Drosophila melanogaster: one gene and its partners. Changing the gene in region 3 together with the main gene of any one other region gives a genetic interaction. Each region holds a gene or a part of one and is shown on either strand. Other genes may lie near its edges.

The links. A genetic interaction does not mean that the proteins touch.
Region 1: of dsh (region 3) and arr, changing one suppresses a phenotype caused by changing the other (phenotypic suppression), as found in Drosophila melanogaster (2 studies listed by BioGRID).
Region 2: of dsh (region 3) and msn, changing one suppresses a phenotype caused by changing the other (phenotypic suppression), as found in Drosophila melanogaster (one study listed by BioGRID).

Annotation. Positions count from the first base shown.
Region 1 is NT_033778.4:13,478,610-13,484,969, reverse strand, and holds the start of arr (arrow), read left to right. Parts: upstream 1-1,740; 5' UTR 1,741-1,815; intron 1,816-2,885; 5' UTR 2,886-3,001; coding exon 3,002-3,194; intron 3,195-6,360. Other genes in the region: cbc (crowded by cid), read left to right, coding at 1-399, 490-997, 1,066-1,183.
Region 2 is NT_037436.4:2,581,921-2,588,243, forward strand, and holds the start of msn (misshapen), read right to left. Parts: upstream 4,621-6,323; 5' UTR 4,483-4,620; exon of another isoform or gene 4,346-4,482; intron 4,335-4,345; exon of another isoform or gene 4,117-4,334; intron 3,819-4,116; 5' UTR 3,763-3,818; coding exon 3,685-3,762; intron 1-3,684. Other genes in the region: RpL8 (ribosomal protein L8), read left to right, coding at 5,833-5,970, 6,164-6,323.
Region 3 is NC_004354.4:11,352,529-11,360,742, forward strand, and holds dsh (dishevelled), read left to right. Parts: upstream 1-3,352; 5' UTR 3,353-3,825; coding exon 3,826-5,697; 3' UTR 5,698-6,196; downstream 6,197-8,214. Other genes in the region: CG1737 (uncharacterized protein), read left to right, coding at 1-2,007; Pa1 (PTIP associated 1), read left to right, coding at 6,801-7,009, 7,076-7,235.

The DNA of each region.
Region 1 (6,360 bases), on a different chromosome or scaffold from region 3:
CGCCAATGGTGCAGTACGTCAACTGTCATGCGGCACTGGAGCAGTTCCGCATGGAGGCCGAGGAGAAGGATCGCTACGGACCAGTGGCCATGGTCGTCGGTCCCATGGACGTGGGCAAGAGCACTCTGTGCCGCATCCTGCTTAACTATGCTGTGCGCGTGGGTCGTCGACCGCTGTACGCCGACCTGGATGTTGGACAGGGCTCGATTGCCATTTCCGGGAGTGTGGCCACCATTCTCATCGAGCGACCGGCGAACGTTGAGGAGGGATTCGCCAAGACAGCGCCGCTGGTCTATCACTTTGGCCATAAGTCTCCCAGCGGAAACAGCGTGCTGTACAATGCCGTGGTTTCCAAAATGGCAGAGGTAACACTGCAATCTCTGAATAGCAACAAGCGAAGTAAGTTGGGAAGGTGTAACACATATCTTTGCACTTTTCAATACATTTTCCCGTTCATAAACTGCAAATTTCTGCATCTGCTTTTTGCAGCAAAAAGCTCTGGCATTATTATAAACACTTGTGGCTGGGTAAAGGGATCCGGCTACGCGCACCTGTTGCACGCGGCCAAAGCCTATGGAGCCTGTGCCATCTTTGTTCTGGACCAGGAGCGACTATACAACGAGCTGCTTCGAGATGTTCCCAAGGGAGTTCATGTGGTACTGCTGCCCAAGAGCGGCGGCGTCGTCGAGCGCAGCAAGGAACTGCGACACGAGGCGAGGGATCAGCGCATCAAGGAGTACTTCTACGGCAATACAAGGGCGCCCTTCTATCCGTTCAGCTTCGAGGTGAAGTTCCAGGACCTGCGACTCTACAAGATCGGCGCACCGCCGCTGCCCGACTCCTGCATGCCAATTGGAATGAAGGCGGAGGACAACAAGACCAAGGTGGTGGCGGTTACACCCACGCCCGCCCTAATCCATCATGTGCTGGCCCTCAGCTTTGCCGAGTCCGTGGAGGACGATGTGATTGGCACCAATGTGGCCGGCTTTTGTTGCGTGTAAGTGCTGCTGAACCTAAACTAGATATTATACTAGTTATATATGATTGTTATTTGATTATCCTCAGAACCGAAGTGGATATGGAAAGACAGGCAGTGATGTTGCTTTCGCCGCAGCCGCGACCTTTGCCCCCGAACGCCCTGCTCCTGTGGTCGGAACTGCAGTTCATGGATAATCATACCTAGCATTTGTAAATGCTCTGCTCTAGATGTAATTTAAGAAATTTTATATTAATGTTGGCGTTACAAAAAATACAGTTTAGATGTGCAAGTAGTAAACTTAAAGTTTTCCACAAGTTTAACAACTGAAATAACATTTAATAACATTTTGCAAAAATTAATTAAGTTTTGCTATAAAAGAATAGAACATATATCAAACAAATATTGTAATTTCTGAAAATTGAAAACTATTATAATTAATTATAACTATACAAGAATATAATATTCAGTATATGTATTGTATGTGTATGTATGTATTATTATGTGTTTCTTATAACCACTGAAAAAGGGTTTTGTAAAAATTGCATTTGAATATATTTGCAATGTGCATTTTTCGCCATTTGGTAAAATTATGTAATTCTATTCGAAAATAATTCAAACAAAATGGTGTTCTAAATTTTTTTAGCAAGGTGTGCAACCAAACGTCTACTCTACTTCCAGTATATTTTTGGTATATTTAGAACACTCAATTGGTAATATTTAGGCAAATTAGGTGCAGCCATACTGACGGCTGCGTACGTCGCCTCAGTGCGGTCACACTGTTCGAAAGAGCGAGACGAAAAACACGGCAACACGGCGGACGGAAAACTCAGTGAAAAGTAAATCAAATATTTACAAAACAAAGTAACCACAAAATGGCTGCGCTCGGTCGAATTGCGTTGGTTTAACAACAAATAGCGATGAAACGGCGACGATTAATACACTTTCAACGGGCATAAACCATAGATACTGTGGAATTTGTCGTGCTTTTCGTGTTTGTTGTGCAGCATGCGAGATGTTGCTGATGTTGTTGTTGGAATGTGTATCAAATGGTTCTAAAAACAAAACAAGAGATTTTCGGGCATCTAAATTTACGGCCTGCTTGAAAGACGTTCTGTTTTCCCCCAGTGTGTGTGTGCGTCTGTGCATGTGTGCGCGTGTGTTTGTGTGTTTTCTTCTCACTTGCTCTCTGTTGCTGCTGCATTTTCCAGCGGCAAACGGCGTTTGTTTTGGTTGCGTCGTGAAATTTTCCACTGGAAAGTGCAGCGCTGCGCCTTTCTGGGGGTTGCACACACACGCGCACGCACCGCAATTCGTCGATTGCCGGCTTGTTGCGCCGTAGAAGCGGCGGCAAAAGAGGTTCCCTAATTACCCAGAGTCACCTTATCACTTACAGTATTTCAATTTGGCGACCAGTTGATCGGAGGGGGTGATGGCGGTGTGGTGGCCCTCACACAGTTGCACAATTGCTTATCACTCGCTACTTAACGACAACAACAATTGGTGGCTCGCACACATGCAAACAAGACGATCACACTCGTCAACAAAGAAGCGGGAAACTCAATTGAAAGACTGAAATAACAACAACATAAGCAACAGCTAGCTTACACTACGCAACAAAAGTGCGAGCACGAGGAACTAAAAGTTATTAACTCACTAGTGATCAAAACTGAAATAAATTTGAATTGTATTGTAGTCATAACAGTTGAACCAATATTAATCTATTAAAAAAGATACGTAGAAAGTAAAACAAAAATCCTAAAACCTATTTACTAACAGGCATAACTCTGCAAATACTGTTGTAACTACAAACGAGAGTTCAAAACAAGGGTGTTATTTGATACCCTAGGGAGTGAAAGATTTTCGAGAGCGACCTGTTTTCAAACCTCCCTCTCCCTTCCACTTGCAGTTTTTCCGTGTGATTACCATGTGCGCCTAACAAAAGACAAACACGATCGGGTCGCGTCATCTGTTGTTTTTGCGCCAAATGTCTTAAAATTCCGGAGATAGTGCTTCCAAAATAAGATGGCTCTCGAGCCATACACAAAGTCTGCTGAAATCGAACCTCAATTGTGCCAAGTTATAGATAATAATGAAGATGTGACAACGAAAGCGACGAAATGCACGAAATCTAACAGCGGAGTGGGCTGGCGACAAATGCTGATCGGCTTTCTACTGATTTGCTTTGGCATCTCAAACAGTTGGCAGTACAAAAATGGTAAGTTCTGTGCTTTCATTTCGAACAAAGGGCAACGGTTTTGCCAAAGGAGCTGGGAACTGACAAGCATTTGATGGCAGTTCGATTAATTTGACGAGTGGCGAGGGCTTTGAGTTCAAAAAACCGCAGGGATAGACAGTTTGTAATGGGAATGGGGGTTCGCTGATATCGTTCCTCTACTTTCCTCAAAGGCTTTTGTACTACAGGTATCGCTCGCTAATGTGAACCAACGTAGTTGCGTGATTCCCAAGTGATTGAATTATAAATTGAGAGTGTTTAGTCTCAAATCAATATTTGATATTTATATTTATTGGTCAATATTCATTTTAAATAGTTAATTTAGCAAAATTTCAATATGTACATCAAAAATTACTATTCAGATAGAATATTTACTTAATAGTATAGTTCCTTATTTCAATGATTCACTGAATTTAAAAGCTTAAAATCCCATAGATAAAATATGAGTAACTGAACTGCATTTCAGGCATGTTGCCTGTTCGAGTGCCCACTGTATGCGTTTGTTTATGTGGTTTCAACTGCACTTTTGAGCTTCCCGCTCCCCGCCCCTCGCCCAGCCTTTTAGCCCCTTCCTTTGCCGCTTTGCGTTTTCCTTTAAGCTCTTTTTCGTGTTGTCAAAGCCCAAAGGCTGACAATTTCTCGGCGCAATGCTTTTATGAATAAACAACTACTACTTATTTAGACTGTAGTACGCACTCAACTTGATTGCACTGCGCATAATTTAGTACCCCCTTCTTCATCTACTTCTACTCCTACGACTACTACAACTCTGCGGCCCCACCAAACACTTTTCCACTAGATGCGACGCTAATGAGCTGAAAAAAGCAGCTCACTAATAATTCAGCAGTTGTAATATGGCAAAGTTGCCCGGTAATTGCCGGCATATTTCAAAATGCACAAAGCATTGACCCAGGCTCAAAAATTATACACTCAGAAAAATGTTCAGTTCTCATCAATTAAATCTTGTATAACTTGTACATTATTTAAAATCTAATGGTAAATCGATAGATCCACTCTATATGAACTGTTCTGTTGGGAATCATATGTAAAGTTAAGATATGAAGTCTGTAAGAGGAACTTACAAATTTCGTGGGCTGAAACAGTTCTTCTATAGATTAATATTGCATGACTCCTTGAAAGTTTTTCTCAGTGCAGCTTCAAAAAAGGGGCTCAAAGGACTGAAGTAGAAGGGACCTGCACGGGACAAGTCAATATGGAAATAGCAAATGGACAAAGGCCGTCCAAACATCGTTAAGCCCCAAAAACGCTCGAGTGTTTGGCTGAAAGATAAGCCTTCGGATTCTTCGTTTTTTTATTTTTTTTTTCCGGCTCTCTCCTTCAGTTGCAATCCGAAGTTTTTTCGGAGTCCGGAATTGCGAGTACTCCAGCATGCATGGGGGCATCCACAAAGCAAGTGCCGCCGCACCGAAAAGGAAGCCCGAAAACTTAAATTTGTCGAGCCGGGTGGGAGGAAAAAAAGCGCATCAAATATGTACACAAAGCTCCGGAAAAAAAACCCCATCTTCCATCATTCCCGGCCAGCTCTCTGTCGTGTGTGGGTGGTGTGTGGGCGGCTGGTTGGATGCTTACTTTCTTTAACACTTTGACGCGCGCACAAAGTGTTTTTTGCCAGCGTTGATTTGCCGCCCATGCCACCCATGCCATCCATGCCACCCATGCCACCACTTCCACACTACCCACCGGCCACCCAGTTCTTCTTTAAACCTTGTTCTTTTTTGCAGCTAACTGACGTTTTTGCGCGCTGCTGTCATGCCGTGTGGGGGATTCCCCCTTTTTTTTGGTCCCTTTACGTAAGCGCTATTTGCTTTAGCTTCTATTTACTACGCCGTAGTAACGCCAGTTTAGTAGTAATGGGAGCACTTCAAAGGCGACGGCGCCTTTGACGCCACATCCACCGCCCACTGACGGCATCCTGCCAGCCAGTCATCCTGCCATCCTGGCTGACATCCTTTGCGTCCCCGCGGGACACTCGACATTTCACTGTTGTTGACATTGATTTTGATTTCATTTATGTGTGCACCATTTCCACTTTCAACTTTCCAACAGCCAGCTTGACATTGGCTTAGGAATGTCAGTCAACACTTGATACACTTTGTCTTTCCTCGCGGGATTTGCCTAGGAAGCATTAGTCGCTAGTATTTCCCAATTATCCAATTAAAAATGCCCAACTCAATTAGTCATGCGTGAATTTCAGTTTATTCGTTGCAATTAAAATCTTAATTTGATGTTTAGCATACTATCAGAATGTTAACTATTGCATGAACTAGTTTAATTATATAAATGAAAGTGATTTTCATAAGTAAGCTGCCAAAAGAAAACAGTCTAAATAGCCTTTAGCAAAGAATCATTTCAAATTTACTGTCTGTAGAAAATAAGATTTTGGACAAAGATTAATGCAATTATTTTAATTGGGTTTCTATAATCTGTTTAAAGCTTTTCACAATCCGTACAATGGCAATTATGCCAATGTAATATGGTTATAATTCCCTGAGCTGTTTTACAGTTTAAAATCGTACCTAATTTTGCATAATTATAAACATACTAACACCAAATGAGCTCATGAATTGCAATTAATCAACTAAACCTTTAATCATACTATTCAAAGCTCGGTTAAACTTTCCACAACTGGCAGCTTGTTGATTTAGTTTGCTATGGAAATGCATAGCTGTTAAACAGCTTCCTCTCAGTTATTGCATCCGAATATCTGCTTAAACTTAAGCCCAATGAAACGCTTCAAACGAACAGCAAACACAATTGGGCTTTAACTAACCCAATCATCCTGGGAGCCATCTGCATTCCGTATGCAAACTGCTAAAACCAATGGCAAACTCTCGGTCCGCCGGCACAAATGTATCACTTTGCAATTTAAACAATAATGTTGTGGTGTGGTCAGTCTGGCGTTTGTGTAATGCATCTGTGTTGCATGCCCGGCAGTTCGGTTGCATCCACATCATCATCGCATCATGGCATCATCCTGCTCATCAACGCGACGAACGCCCTACTCCGACCACAGATTTGTGTGTGTGGGCGGGTTGGTCTGGCACTGACCTCTGTGTGTTGGCTGATACGGCTGTGCGTATTGCGTATATATTACACAGAGAAAAATAATCTAATTTATTAGTTTTAT
Region 2 (6,323 bases), on a different chromosome or scaffold from region 3:
ACCTTTGATATTGTAAGACTATAGATTTCAATCTGATTTCCAAAAAAAAAAATACATCAAATAAATATGTTTTTTTTTATAGATAAAACTTGGTTTATCCATGTAATACAGAATGAAATATAAAGAAGTGTGATTATTGCGTTTGGGATGAGTATTATAGTCTAAATGTTTAAGTCCTTTAGATTTATATTAAATACATTTTCTTAATCGGCAAATCCCTGTCTTTTAACAGAAGTTTGTCGCCGTCAGTCTCTTTGGCTAGTTGCTTCATTACTACAGTTTGCTTGGCCTGGCAAACTGGAATTTTTTGAGTTGTTTTGTTTTGCTTTGTTTGTCTAAAAGCGCAGAACTACCCCCGCACCCCTCCACCAGTTGGCCCGTTTCCCCTGCAAAAGGCTTGGCCCAGTTAGCAGTAAAAAATGCAAAGAGCAGGAGAGTGGCTTAAAACAGGACTGACTGCATATTAGGACGCCCATGCAATTCAATCGAGCTGGCTTATGCAGATGCAGTGGCTGCACTAGGAAAAAATGTGGTAAACCTTGGAAAACATTCCAATTAGAACTAGAAAACTGTGTTGAAATACTTATATTTTTGAAACGAGTGTTTTCTTGGATTTGGTTTAGTTGATTTTTAATCCCAAGTTAAGTTGCCCAACTGTGTGTACTATTTTTTCGCAGTGACCCAAACTATTTCTCTTTGTTGGCTTAATTCGTGTGGGTCGCGTGGCCAATTCGATTAGGAATGCACTCAGCTGACGTCACGAAGCCCATTTACCTACTTTTCGGGTATCAGCACATGAGCCAACTCTGATTAGAGCTGATTATTTAACTAGCGATTTCCACAGATCCACATGGAAAACAAAATGATTTCCCAACACCCCGGGGAAATTTGCTTCTATAAACACACGTTCGATTGCGAAGAGATGCCTCTTCCTGAACTTTATAAAAAGTATTTTCCCGGGGACCGGGCCCAATGTTGATTTAACCCACAAAAACTGAAACATGTGTGGATATTTCGATTTTTTCCACTCCTCAGAGCAAATTGCAGCGCAGACGGACACATGGAACAAACCGAACAAATGTGGGCGAACACGTTTTTATCGCAGCTAACGAAATGCAATAAATGTTGATTAAAATAAACACACACTGCGAAGAAAGAGATTTAAAATAATGAAGTTAAATTTAAAACGCAGTATAGTGCCACTTAAAAGAAGAAGCCCACCTCGTGAATTCTTCAGAACCAAGTTGTTGGATCAGCCCTTTGTTTATCCTAGATACTAAACATTACTGATTGAAGATCGGTTTCTTTCAGTGCACATGCGAGTGAAATACACATAAAGAAGTGGAAGCCACACCAAAATGAAGACGAACCGCGTTTGAATGCTTATCAGTGGAGAATAAAAGAAACTGCACCAAATACAAATAAATGGGGAGTCGTAAAAACCAGAAATAATTAATGAAATTTGTGCTGATGAATGCAGCTTGTGGTATCTTATCAGACACAAGGAGTGGAGGGGAGTGGAGTTCTTATCGAGTGAACAGAAACCAGAACGGAAGCCTAACAAAGCGAGCCAGTTTCGAGAGAAAGAACCTTAGCTTTAAGGACTCTGACCTTTTGTCGTTTTCTATTTCGGGACATTCCACAGCTATCGCATCTCTCTTCTCTCGGCCATTGTGTTTAATGACCTTTAAAAGCCACGCACAGACAGGTCACCGGAATATGGCAGACATGCAGGCGAGGGGCCGCCCACGTCCACGCCCACTTTAGCGCCCCTCACCGAGAGGAGAAGGCCAAACAGAAATAAAACAAAAATAAAAACAACACTTCAAACAAGACACACATCACAATTCATGATTCTCATGCCTGCTGCCATTTTTGCTGATTTTGCTTTGGGTTCGTCGCCGCTTTTCTTGGCAGCCGGTGTTGTGTGTGTGCCCCATCTTAATCATCGTTTTCATCATCATTATCATTTGAGTCCACATTATCGCCATCTTCAAGCTGTCTGCTGCAGCGCAGATACAAACACACACAGCGATTCAGATACATGCGACTCGCATAGATACAAAAGCACGCATGGTGTTGCTCTGCTCGCTTCTGCCTGCCGCCTTTTAATAAAGTAAACTAAACAATTTTCATTCTTGTCTCGTTTTTGTCTCGTCTTCGTCGCTCTGCATCGACTATGAACAATTTTTCATAAACACACACGGGTTAACAGTTGGGGCTACAATAATAGTGCCTGCGGAGCCTCGTTCTACTCAAAAGAACTGTGAATATAAGTCAATCGGCAATGAGCCTTTAATCCGAAAAATACACTTGTTTGTATATGTATATTTTCATGTATACGAACAAACAAGTAATATTATCCGTACGAAAGCCAACTAAAACTCTTCCCAAACTAATGCTGTGATCTCTTAAATTTGACTCCAGATTTTTAGTGCTAACTTAATTTATAGAACTTCACGGAACATCCCTTTTTTAAGGCCGCCTTAAAGCCTATTATTTTGGCCTCATCTGTGGGTGAAGCACACACACAACCACAGCGGCGCACATGCCGTAGCAGCGAGGCGACGACCCAAGCACCACCACCAGCCCACTCCACATTGACCCCCCCCCCACCACCCACCACATCCAGGCAGAGTCAACAAACGGACACTCACACACACACTTGTGCCAAACTGAACTTTCGGTGGGTGCGCAAAGCAAAAGAGATGGCGCCCAACGTGGGGCCGGCGGGCGTGGTGAGTTCCGTTCCGCCACCAAAAGTGCTGAGAGTGGTGAATGTTTGGTGAAAGAGAAAGGCAACAAACGCATGCGGCAGTGCGTGCGGCCACAGGGGGGTTAAAGGGGGGTGCTAAGGCGGCCGAAAGGGGGTTAAGACTCGACAAATTCATTGAGAAACGAAGCGAAACAAAAAATAGCTTGGCAAAGCGGAGAAGGTGGCACCGGCCGGTCAAAAGTTGCGCACACCACTCTCACATTCAAAACTTACAGGGTGGGTGGTGCCAAGTTGGGTGGTTTTTTGTCAGGCAATGAAATCGAAATGTCAATGTGCAGTTATCAACTCGATTATTATTGTGATTGCTTCGAGGGGGAGAACGGAAATCCAGAAAAAAAAACCTTTTTTCGTTGCCATGGCAAAGTGCAAAAAAGGAAGAACACAAAGAAAAAGAACTCGCTTTTGTTGTACTTTTAAACAATTTGCATAAATGTGCGGGGGAAACCTTCGAGGGTTTGACGACTGGAAAGGCCAATCGAGTTGGGTAAGATATTGTGGGGTATTTTTGGAACCAAGTTCTGAGTAAAGGGGCTTCTTTGCGAATTGCAGGAATATAAAATAAAAAATTCATCATAATATCAAAAAAAAAGAATTCGTATTGGTTGCATCTCGGTATATTTTACATCTTTTTGAAACTAATCGATTGTGAAACCTTTCAGATAGTGTAAATAGTTTGTGAAATCGAACTAACAAATAACGAACGGAAATTGGAGTGTAAACGACCACACCTGGGAAAATAATCACGGGGCGGTCACTTTCCCGTTAATCGGGCGAGGCTTGTTAATGAATATAGCTGATGGGGAGGGGGCAATGTGGGGGCTCTATTTTCGGGGGGCTCTGCTGCTGGTTCTATTTCTAGTCGTATTCCATTTCCATTCGAGATGGATAACCGCAGCTTATTGACTCACTTTTAGGGCCGTCAGATCGATATCGTCCAGTGAACAGTTGACCGATGGAGCCAGTTGTTGTTGCTGCTGGTGCGCCATTTTGATTTGCTATTTTATTTTGTTCTTCTGGATCTGGAGAATTGCTGCTGCTGATTCTTCGCACGCAGAAAGAGGTGGAGAGAGGAGAAATGCAAATAAGACGGTGAACGGGGGGAGGGGACAAAACAACGGGGAGAGAAATAGAGTGGAGAAGGAGCGGCCGCAGGACTTTACTGCGATTTTAGATTTATACGCACTTTACCGCGATTTAAGATTTATACGCTCTAAATGACAAATGCCACAATAAAAAACCCGTGCAATTAACAAACTATTTGTTGCTGTCATACAACTTTTCTCTTTTCGCTTCTCCGCTCTTCTTCTCGCTCTCTGTCTCTCTCCATCTCTCTTTCTCACTGCTCTGGCTCTGCGTGCGTATGTGTGTTTTGTGACGGAGTGTTTGTGTGTGTTAGTTAACGTTTGGCAAACGGGGCGCGGCTCTTTTAATTCCCCAGCACTTTATAAAATCTTTTCTCGCCCTTAAACCATTTATTTATCACTGCCGATTCATCTGCTACTTCGCACACACTGCACAATTTCAATATTTTTTTTGCGGCGCTCCGATGGACCAGCCTCACACACACACCCACACCAGTGCAGTAGCCTGCGTATGTGTTTGTGTAGGTAGACAGAAAAAATCTGCCACTCGCTTTTTCCTCCCGATTGCGTTTTGCGTTCTCGCGCAGGACTCGCGATTTTCACTGGCGCACCGCGAATACGTACTCTTCACGCACAGCGATGGGCGCCTATCGCCTTTGCATCGCACAACCAGCTGAACAGTTCAATTTCCCAACTTCAGTGAAAATCAGAACGGTTTTCCGTTTTACGCGACGCCAAAACCCCGACGGATTCCAACAGTGTGACCAATTAGCCGATGGCAGCTTATTCCATCGCGAACTGAAAAATACCCCGCGATTACCGTTCTCATTTCTGCGCACATACCGCAAACATATCGAGCCGTAAAAGGCCAATTCGTGTGCCCGTATATTCTTCTCTTTCAGAATAGCAAATTAACAAATTTGCAACTGTAATCAATAAATTAGATTATAGACATTTACTAATTCCAATTAGAAAAAAGAGGCTGGGAAAATAAAAAATATTAACATATTTAATATTTTATTTCATAGGGTAACACAAATCGTTGAGTCATTTCCTATTAAAGTTATATAATAATCAGAATTGGAATATAAGAATAAGATATGTATGGTCGAAGATTAGATGTGTTAAATAAAGACGTCTAAAAATGTACGCCAGTGGAACGCATAGCATAGTCCAAAATATCTTTCGGCTTCGGAATATTTCCACTGGTTTCTTTTCACTCTCTATTTTATTTCTGATTGGGTCGCCTTTTTCACTTCTCATCCAATTGGCAAGTGCTCGACACAACTTTCCAGCTCAACTCGAATTATTCATACATCTAATTGAATTATTATATACATATATAAAATCGATTAACTTATATTAAAATTATCCAGTTTAGAAACGTTTCGATTAGGTAAAGCAGATTTCAGCGAAATTGACCTTGCGAAGATTGAAATCAAACCAAATTTTCTGGGCAAGTGAGCTACTGATTAGTAAAACTTCCGAAAACTGAATTTGAAGATTTAATATGATAAATTTTATTATTTTATTTATTATTATTAGCAAATTAACAATTTCGCGAATACCCAAAATAGCAGTGAGAAACAGCTCTTTCCCCAGCAGCACGTTAGTCACGACGCCAGACGCCAAACACAGCCACACTATTCCCTGCCCACCTCTAGGATGTCTTCCTCTTTTCTTTTCTTTTCGCCCCGTTTCCGGAGTGGTCGTATTGGGCAATTTTAATTTTACGGTAAGCCACGTGCTAAATTTTGTAAATTTGGTGGTGTTTTCAATTGCGGAAATTGTTTACAGTGCGCAATTTAACATTATAACCGTGTAACATGGAATATTTCAATTTTCCGTCAAAATATTCGAATAAGATCGAAATTCCGTAGCGTGTTGCATTGAAGATGGCCATCTTATTTAGTGAAACCGCCGCATTTGCAATATGGAGTTCGAGTACTAATCCCGTGAATTTGTCTTGCAGCAATGGGTCGCGTTATTCGTGCACAGCGTAAGGGAGCTGGTTCCGTGTTCAAGGCGCACGTGAAGAAGCGCAAGGGAGCCGCCAAGCTGCGTTCCCTGGACTTCGCCGAGCGTTCCGGCTACATCCGCGGAGTTGTCAAGGTGAGTAACGTGCTCCTAGGATCACCAACTACACCTATCCGTTTAATGTGGATGAGATCACTTGCATTTGGCCATGCCACATTCAAGAGACGTGCTTGAGCACCTGTGCCAGCTTACTAGAAGTTACTTAGCTCACTTGGCTTAACTGCTTTTGAAGTGTAACTAAGCGAATCGTACTTCTTCCATGTTTCAGGACATCATCCACGATCCCGGCCGTGGCGCTCCTCTGGCCGTCGTCCACTTCCGCGACCCCTACCGCTACAAGATCCGCAAGGAGCTGTTCATCGCCCCCGAGGGCATGCACACCGGCCAGTTCGTGTACTGCGGCCGCAAGGCCACCCTTCAGATCGGCA
Region 3 (8,214 bases):
CCACCGAAGGCGAAAAATGTCAATGCCAATGCCAGCGCGACCAGCGCTGGCAATCTGACTTCCAGCAGCGGCGCCACATCCAAGATATCCATAAATTCGAGCAGCGGCCGCACGGCGTCCACTAGCCTGCAGCAGATGCGTCGCACAATGGCCACGAATATGGCCAAAAGCAATGCCAGCATGACAGACGGATCGAGCACGGGCAAGGGCACTGCGTCCGCCGCGGCCAAACGCAAAATGGACACTAGCGAAAGCGAGAGTCCTGTGCCACGCAAGCGCATAATCATTTCGGGCGGCTCCCAGCAGCGCAGCGGACCGCCTGTGGTGAATGGTGCCAACAGCAAGATGAGCGCGCAGAGAGCGATCACGGCGCGACCGAAGGTGGGCCAGGCGGGCAGTGCGTCAGCCAGGATGCTGCCACAGCGACGCGGCAGCAGTAACAAGATAAACTCATTGTCGAACTCCAATTCGAATTCGATTAGATCCACGCCCGCAACGCGCTCAACTGGCGGTGGTGGTGGCGGCGGCAAGGGTGACGCTAGCAATGATGGGAAAAACGATTCCGAATCGGAGGATATGCCCACATTCACCATTGTAAACATCGATGACATTATCAATCAGGACGATGTGCTCATTTCCAGATCACACACTGCTATGGCCGCTTCCGCAGCTGGCGGTAATTCAATCAAAAAGGTCGCTTTGGGCAGGCCCCGTACCAAGAATATCGGAACCGGCAATTCGGTTGCCGGCGATAAGAAATCCATCACTGTTAACAGCACGCAGAAATCCCTGTCCGCTGCTGTTAACCACAACAATACGACGGCGGGGAATCCAGCCAAGCGCATCAAGATCTTGGCCAGCAACAGTAGTGTCAATACCAAAATGGGACCAGTGCATATCCAGAGTCAACTGCCGAAGCCCCGGCCCAGGATACTCAACGCGGAAATGGGCAAGAAGACGCAGTCGATGAAACCGCTGATGAGCATGGGCAAGGAGCTCTGTCCCACGGACGTCGACACCGAAGAGGACGATCCGGATCCAGATCTCGATTTTGATATCGATAATATACCGGTATCTATTGTTACCCGTAAGAATGCCAATGTCAATGCCAATGCCAAGTCCAAGCAGGTGACGACAACGACGTCGGTGGCGGCGTCGGCGGCGATGACGTCCGCTCCAGCAGCGGTAGCGGTTAACAAGTTGAACAACAATCGGCGCAATGTGCTGTCCACGACAGCGTCGTCGGTGAATGCGCTGATTGCGGACCGGAGGCTGAGCAATCTGCTGGCCGATAACGATGTCCAGCCGGTGTTCAAGAAGCCGAGCCTGGTTCCGCAGCGTCGCAGCAAGGAGAACCAGCAGGAGCAGCAGCGCGACAAGGAGCTGACAACGCTGCGCGAAATATTGCCCACCGGCGGTGGCATCGACGATGCCAACAGTCCCAAATATTTTCCGCCCGAGACCACAACGTTTCACGAGGAGGATGGTCGTGTGGTAAAGAAGATCACCTGCTATGAGACGTGGCATGTGGTTAGCACGGCCAAGGATATGTTGTCGAAGATGGCGCGCCAGCAGCGCACCTGCCTGGAGCTGGCGCTGGTCAAGCTGGCCAATGTGGCGTCACGGATAAAGGTGCCATCGGGCAAATGGACCAGCAAGGTGACGCTGTACAAGGTCTCGCCGTCGATGATGCCCCGCCAGACAATGACCATCTTTACGGGCGATCTCAAGGCGTACAACATACCCGAGGAGGACCGTCACAAGTATCAGCCGTCGTGCGTGCTCTTCCGGCGCGTTGTCGTTGACAAGAACACGTGCCGCGTGCCCTACGATCGGGCCGTCATCTTCAAGAACAAATGCTTCTATGCGAACATCGATGGCAAGCATGTGAATCTGTTGGGTGCCCCCGAGACGGTTGCCACCATCAAGGATGTGGAGATCCTGCTGGATATCGTCGATCGCCTCTCGATCAGCAGCAACATTGTCGAGCTGGTCAACGCTAAGTGAGCGTGGAGGCCTGGTCCATGGTGGCCACAGGAAGAGCACGTATCACATTGTAAAAAATAATTCACACACAGCACTCCCCTCCCCATCCCCATCCCCCTCCCCCATACACATACACAAACAAACAAAGCGGACACTCGATAATTCGTTTTATGCTGTAGTTGTAATAAAACAGATACAAGTTTTTTTTTGTAAAACCATTAACTTAGTTGTAATAGCTAGTGTAGCGTAAATTTATATATATTTATATGTATATATATATATGTATGTATATAAATATATATTAATATATATACACGTATATATAATTATATATTTATATATATGAATATATATATATATATATTTATATAAATTTTTATATATATATATCTCGTATATTATAAACAGCGGACGGACATACATAAATACAAACGGCAGATGTATCTATGTAATATAAACTAAACTAAAGAAAACAATTAATTGTAAAATGCTCGCCCAACTCTCGAAGGGATTGCGAAGTTCCGGGCGGTCGAGGTATATCAATAATGATTTTTATTTTAAATGCGTTGGAATACATAGCCCCCCTCCGCCTTCCCCGCGAGTCCCGCCCCCTTCGAAATCCTTTTTTTTTAAATTGCTATTATCGTAGTCGATTCAATAATATAAAACCGGGCGTACATGTGCCTACGCCCGCGTGGAGGACTAGCCAGTAAGTTAGTCGAGTGTATATCTAAGTGATCCCAATTCAAAGCATACAAATAAAAGAGAAAACTGATTTAAATAACGAGCGCCATTGCGTGATAAATGGCGGGCGGGGTTATCTGGAAATCGGGCAGCTATAAATAAACTGCGGCCAACGCTAGAGATTTTCGTGTGAAAAGCGAAAGAAGATAAGGAACGCAGGCTTCAAGTGGATGGATGGATGAGTTTCCTTGGTCAAGTTTCCATGACAAGGATAAAGACTCTACTTTTAAACAGGACACTCTTCAACTATGCTACATCATTATATGGTAAATTAATACAATTAAGAGTTCAATATAGCTGTAGTTTTAGATTCTACATGTTTTATGTAATAGAAATTGCTATTTTGTTAAATTATAATAAATTTATTGTTTTGAATAAGTATTCAAATTAAACGATATTTATCGATAACTTTGGTATTTAATTTTAAAAGTGTTTGAACTACATTCAAATTGTAAAGCAAATATCGTTAGAGAGAGCATTTCCAATAGAAACTAAATACATTGCAGTTTTTAGTAGTTTTCCATACGCTTTTTCAGAATATTCGTTTGAGAAAATGTTAAGAATGTTCGAATTCGAAAGGGTCTGGCATCGCCGGCAGTGTGACCAACTGCCCGGCGCTTTGGCATTCCGTGCGTGACGAGCGGCTAACACACTGTTTTTTTTTAGTCTCAAAATTCTAACAAATTTATTGATAAACTAGCAATATGCTCGTTTCGCCCTGCCCCCGCTGCGTGCACCGACATTAAAGCGCACCAAATCGTGCTAATGGAGCAATATCAACGCCGTGCAAATCGACGAATTAACAGCCGCCGCTTCCATTGAATCGAAATACCCAGCCCAAAAAAAAGAGAAAGAAAAAGTAAAAGAAACGCGTGCGAGAGCGAGAGGGCTAGAGCGACCAGGGGGAGAAAAGCAAAATCGAGTGAATTTTGTTTGTTGTATCGGCTTTTCCCTGGCTTAATCCCGTTTTCCCTGTGATTTTTCCCCACCAACTTCCCACGCCACCTCCCCACCGCATCCATCGCATTTCGTTTTGATCGCGTTTTATCGCGTCGAGGAGTTTTCCCGTGGATTTCCGCAGTCGGCGCAGCTAAAATGGACGCGGACAGGGGCGGCGGGCAGGAGACGAAGGTGATATACCACATCGACGATGAGACGACGCCGTATCTGGTGAAGATCCCCATTCCATCCGCCCAGGTGACGCTGCGCGATTTCAAGCTGGTGCTGAACAAGCAGAACAACAACTACAAGTACTTCTTCAAGTCAATGGACGCCGATTTCGGTGTGGTCAAAGAGGAAATAGCCGACGACTCCACCATACTGCCCTGCTTCAATGGGCGAGTGGTGTCCTGGCTGGTCTCCGCCGATGGTACCAATCAGTCAGATAACTGCTCCGAGCTGCCAACCAGTGAGTGTGAATTGGGCATGGGTCTGACCAACAGGAAGCTACAGCAGCAACAGCAGCAGCATCAGCAGCAGCAACAACAACAGCAGCAGCAGCACCAGCAACAGCAACAACAACAGCAGCAGCAGGTGCAGCCTGTCCAGCTGGCGCAGCAGCAACAGCAGCAGGTGCTCCATCACCAGAAGATGATGGGCAATCCGCTGCTGCAGCCGCCACCGCTCACATATCAATCGGCATCCGTGCTCTCCAGCGATCTGGACTCGACCAGTCTCTTTGGCACCGAATCCGAATTGACGCTGGACCGCGACATGACCGACTATAGCAGCGTTCAGCGATTGCAGGTGCGCAAGAAGCCGCAGAGGCGCAAAAAACGGGCGCCCAGCATGTCGCGCACCTCCTCGTACAGCTCCATAACCGACTCGACCATGTCCCTAAATATCATTACCGTCTCCATCAACATGGAGGCGGTCAACTTTCTGGGCATATCCATTGTCGGGCAATCGAATCGCGGCGGCGACGGCGGCATCTACGTGGGCAGCATCATGAAAGGCGGCGCAGTGGCACTCGATGGACGCATCGAACCGGGCGACATGATCCTCCAAGTGAACGATGTCAACTTCGAGAACATGACCAACGACGAGGCGGTACGTGTGCTGAGAGAAGTCGTTCAGAAGCCGGGACCCATCAAGCTGGTGGTGGCCAAGTGCTGGGACCCAAATCCCAAGGGCTACTTCACCATTCCGCGCACGGAGCCGGTGCGACCCATCGATCCCGGTGCTTGGGTGGCGCACACTCAGGCCCTCACATCGCACGACAGTATTATTGCCGACATTGCGGAGCCGATTAAGGAGCGTCTGGACCAGAATAACCTCGAGGAGATCGTTAAGGCGATGACGAAGCCGGACAGCGGCCTGGAGATCAGGGATCGCATGTGGCTAAAGATAACGATTCCCAATGCATTTATCGGCGCCGATGCGGTCAATTGGGTGCTGGAGAATGTGGAGGATGTTCAGGATAGGCGGGAGGCGCGAAGGATCGTCTCGGCGATGCTGCGCAGCAATTACATCAAGCATACGGTCAATAAGTTGACCTTCTCGGAGCAGTGCTACTACGTGGTGAACGAGGAGCGCAATCCCAATCTGTTGGGCCGAGGACATCTGCATCCGCACCAGCTGCCGCACGGGCATGGCGGCCATGCGCTTAGCCATGCGGACACCGAGAGCATCACCAGCGACATCGGGCCGCTACCGAACCCGCCCATTTATATGCCATATTCGGCCACGTACAATCCAAGTCACGGCTATCAGCCGATCCAGTACGGCATCGCCGAGCGACACATCTCGTCGGGATCGAGTAGCAGCGATGTGCTGACCAGCAAGGATATCTCGGCGTCGCAGAGCGACATCACCTCGGTGATCCATCAGGCCAACCAGCTGACCATCGCCGCTCATGGCTCTAACAAATCATCCGGCTCCTCCAATCGGGGCGGCGGCGGAGGCGGTGGCGGTGGCGGCAACAATACCAACGATCAGGACGTATCCGTATTTAATTACGTATTGTAGAAACCTTTCTTTTTGCAATCAAATTGTGTTTTTAATTAATTAAATTAAATATGTACGATTATTCTTTTTTATATACGAGTATACAAAGCAAGCAAACAGCAAACCACAATATAATAATTATAATTATAATAATAATAATAATAATAATTATAATAATAATAATAATACTTATGTATATGTATGGTATGTGTAAGTCATAGAAAAGAACGCTAAACACCCAGCCGCAACGAGTCAAGGATCAGCGAGGGCTCGTGAGGCAGCAGGAGGATCAGCACAGGGATATCCGTGTCCGGCAGCAATCGGTTGTGGACCCGATCAGATCAGATCAACTGAGATATATGATATATGATATATATATATATATATATATATATATATATATGGATGATGCGGAGCGGAGCGGAGGAGCAGGAACGGCAGCATGACGGGCGAGAATGATTTTGAATAAAGTTCTAAGAATTTAGTAATCACAAAGTAAATAAATACAAATAAAATGAATAATCGATGGCTTTTCCATATGCATGAGATTGGTTTCTTTAACGCATTTTAGCTGTTTTCAAGTGCAAATCAAATTGCCAAGAAGACTTTTAAAATATTCCTAAAACATATTAGCGTTTGTTCGTAATTTGAGGAATATACATTAAAAAGGAAGTCTAATTTTTGTTAGTTCTTATTTCTTTGTACAGATTAACAATATTTAAACACATACTTTCCATCCTAAAAAGTAAAAGTCTCAACAAGATAATATTGTTCTTCCCCCTAAACCAAACAATGCGCCATCGAGAACAATCCTCGAAGTTGTGTGCACTCGGAGCGGAAACATTCCGGGCATGGGTGTGCACTTAATAAAGAAGAGAATAATGAAACCTATAAATAGAAAATCCATTTCGAGCAGCAAATGTGTTCAAATCAACCGCCCAGCTCGGACACTTTGCAACACTAAGCCCGAAAATCGATAGCAACGAACGTTCGATAACTGTTCGATAAGCACGCCAAAGCAAACTATCGCTTTCATTCCAGAAAGGTCGCGAAACCAATAGGTTCTATTGTGGAAAGAAACGCAAATTTCCAGTTCATTTGGATTGTTTAAATCCGAGAAAACGATGGCAACGGATGTGGAGCCGGCGGCGAATACGGCGGACAAGTTCTCCGCCAACGCGGAGGAGCTAGAGGGCTACTATCTGATGCTGGAGGCGGGAAATATTCCGGAACTGCAATGGCAATTTCCGGGACGCAGGGCTCCATCGCCGGAGGCGGGATCTGGCGGCAATAGCAAGGAACTCGAACAGGCCACCGACGCCATTGAGCAGGAGTAAGAACAAGTGCAGCACCATCCGAAGGTTAACATAACTTATGATTGATTTTCGTGTCCCCGCAGACCGCAGAAGGCCAACGACTTTGATTTCAGCGACGATGTGGCCCCCACCCAGATGCGCGTCCGCAGCCAGACGTCCACGCCCAAGTCGGCCAAAAAGAAGACGGCCAACTTCGCCGGCGTCATGGAGACGCTGAAGAAGAAGAATGCCGAGAGCTCATAGCACCCGCCGAAATTCTGATGCTGATCCGGTCCAGGCAATCGGCTGCAGATCGTACTCTATCGCCATGCGGACTAGTCTATAAGCATCAGTCGTTTTACAACCATCGACAGGATGGGCTGTGGAGCTCTGCTGCAAATCGCATTAATGTAAGGATTTAGAGAGAGTTTGAACTTCAATTTACTTAAGATTTAAATTACCATACTTATAGTTAGCATTTAGAGAGTTTGAAGTTTGAACATCAAAACATAAGCTTATTATGACTTATTAGTCAGCATCTAGAGAGGAAGTTTAAACATCAAAACATAGGCATATTATGACTTAATTACCATATTCATGTGACTAGCTTGTAGCTTAAATTGCAGCAGTCTTTGGAATTCTAAAAAACTTTGTGAACCAACAAGTTGCAACTCAGAGAAGTTTGAACTTCAATTACCATATATGCATAACTAGCTGTTAAGGATGTTAACTCCCATTGCATTGGTCAGTTCTTCATTTTAGACTAAGAACTTGTAATTGAGAAGATAGCATAGAACTAATCAACTTATGTTTAAGCAGAGGGATGTGTATGTGATCCTTAATTAGCACGTGGGAAATTTACGTTCTAAATGTTAATTGTCTTTATTTGATATATTATGACAATATTCTTGATAGTATTGTCCGAAACCGACGTTTGAAGACTAGAATATAGAATATAGGATAGAACGGATGTAAATTTAAATCCAATGCGAGTAAAGCAGATAACAAGATAGGCAACTGTAGATCAGTCAACTTCTGTACATAAAAGAACTGAATTTCACTAATAGCTGTTAAAACTAGAATATAGAATGTAGGATAGAACGGATGTACATTTAAATCCAAGATGAGTAAGATAACTATTTAGTAAGGCAACTGTAGATCAGTCAACTTCCGTACATACAACTAATACGAAATGAATCAGCACAGTTGCCCTACTAAACAATATCAACTTCTCATGAGCTAA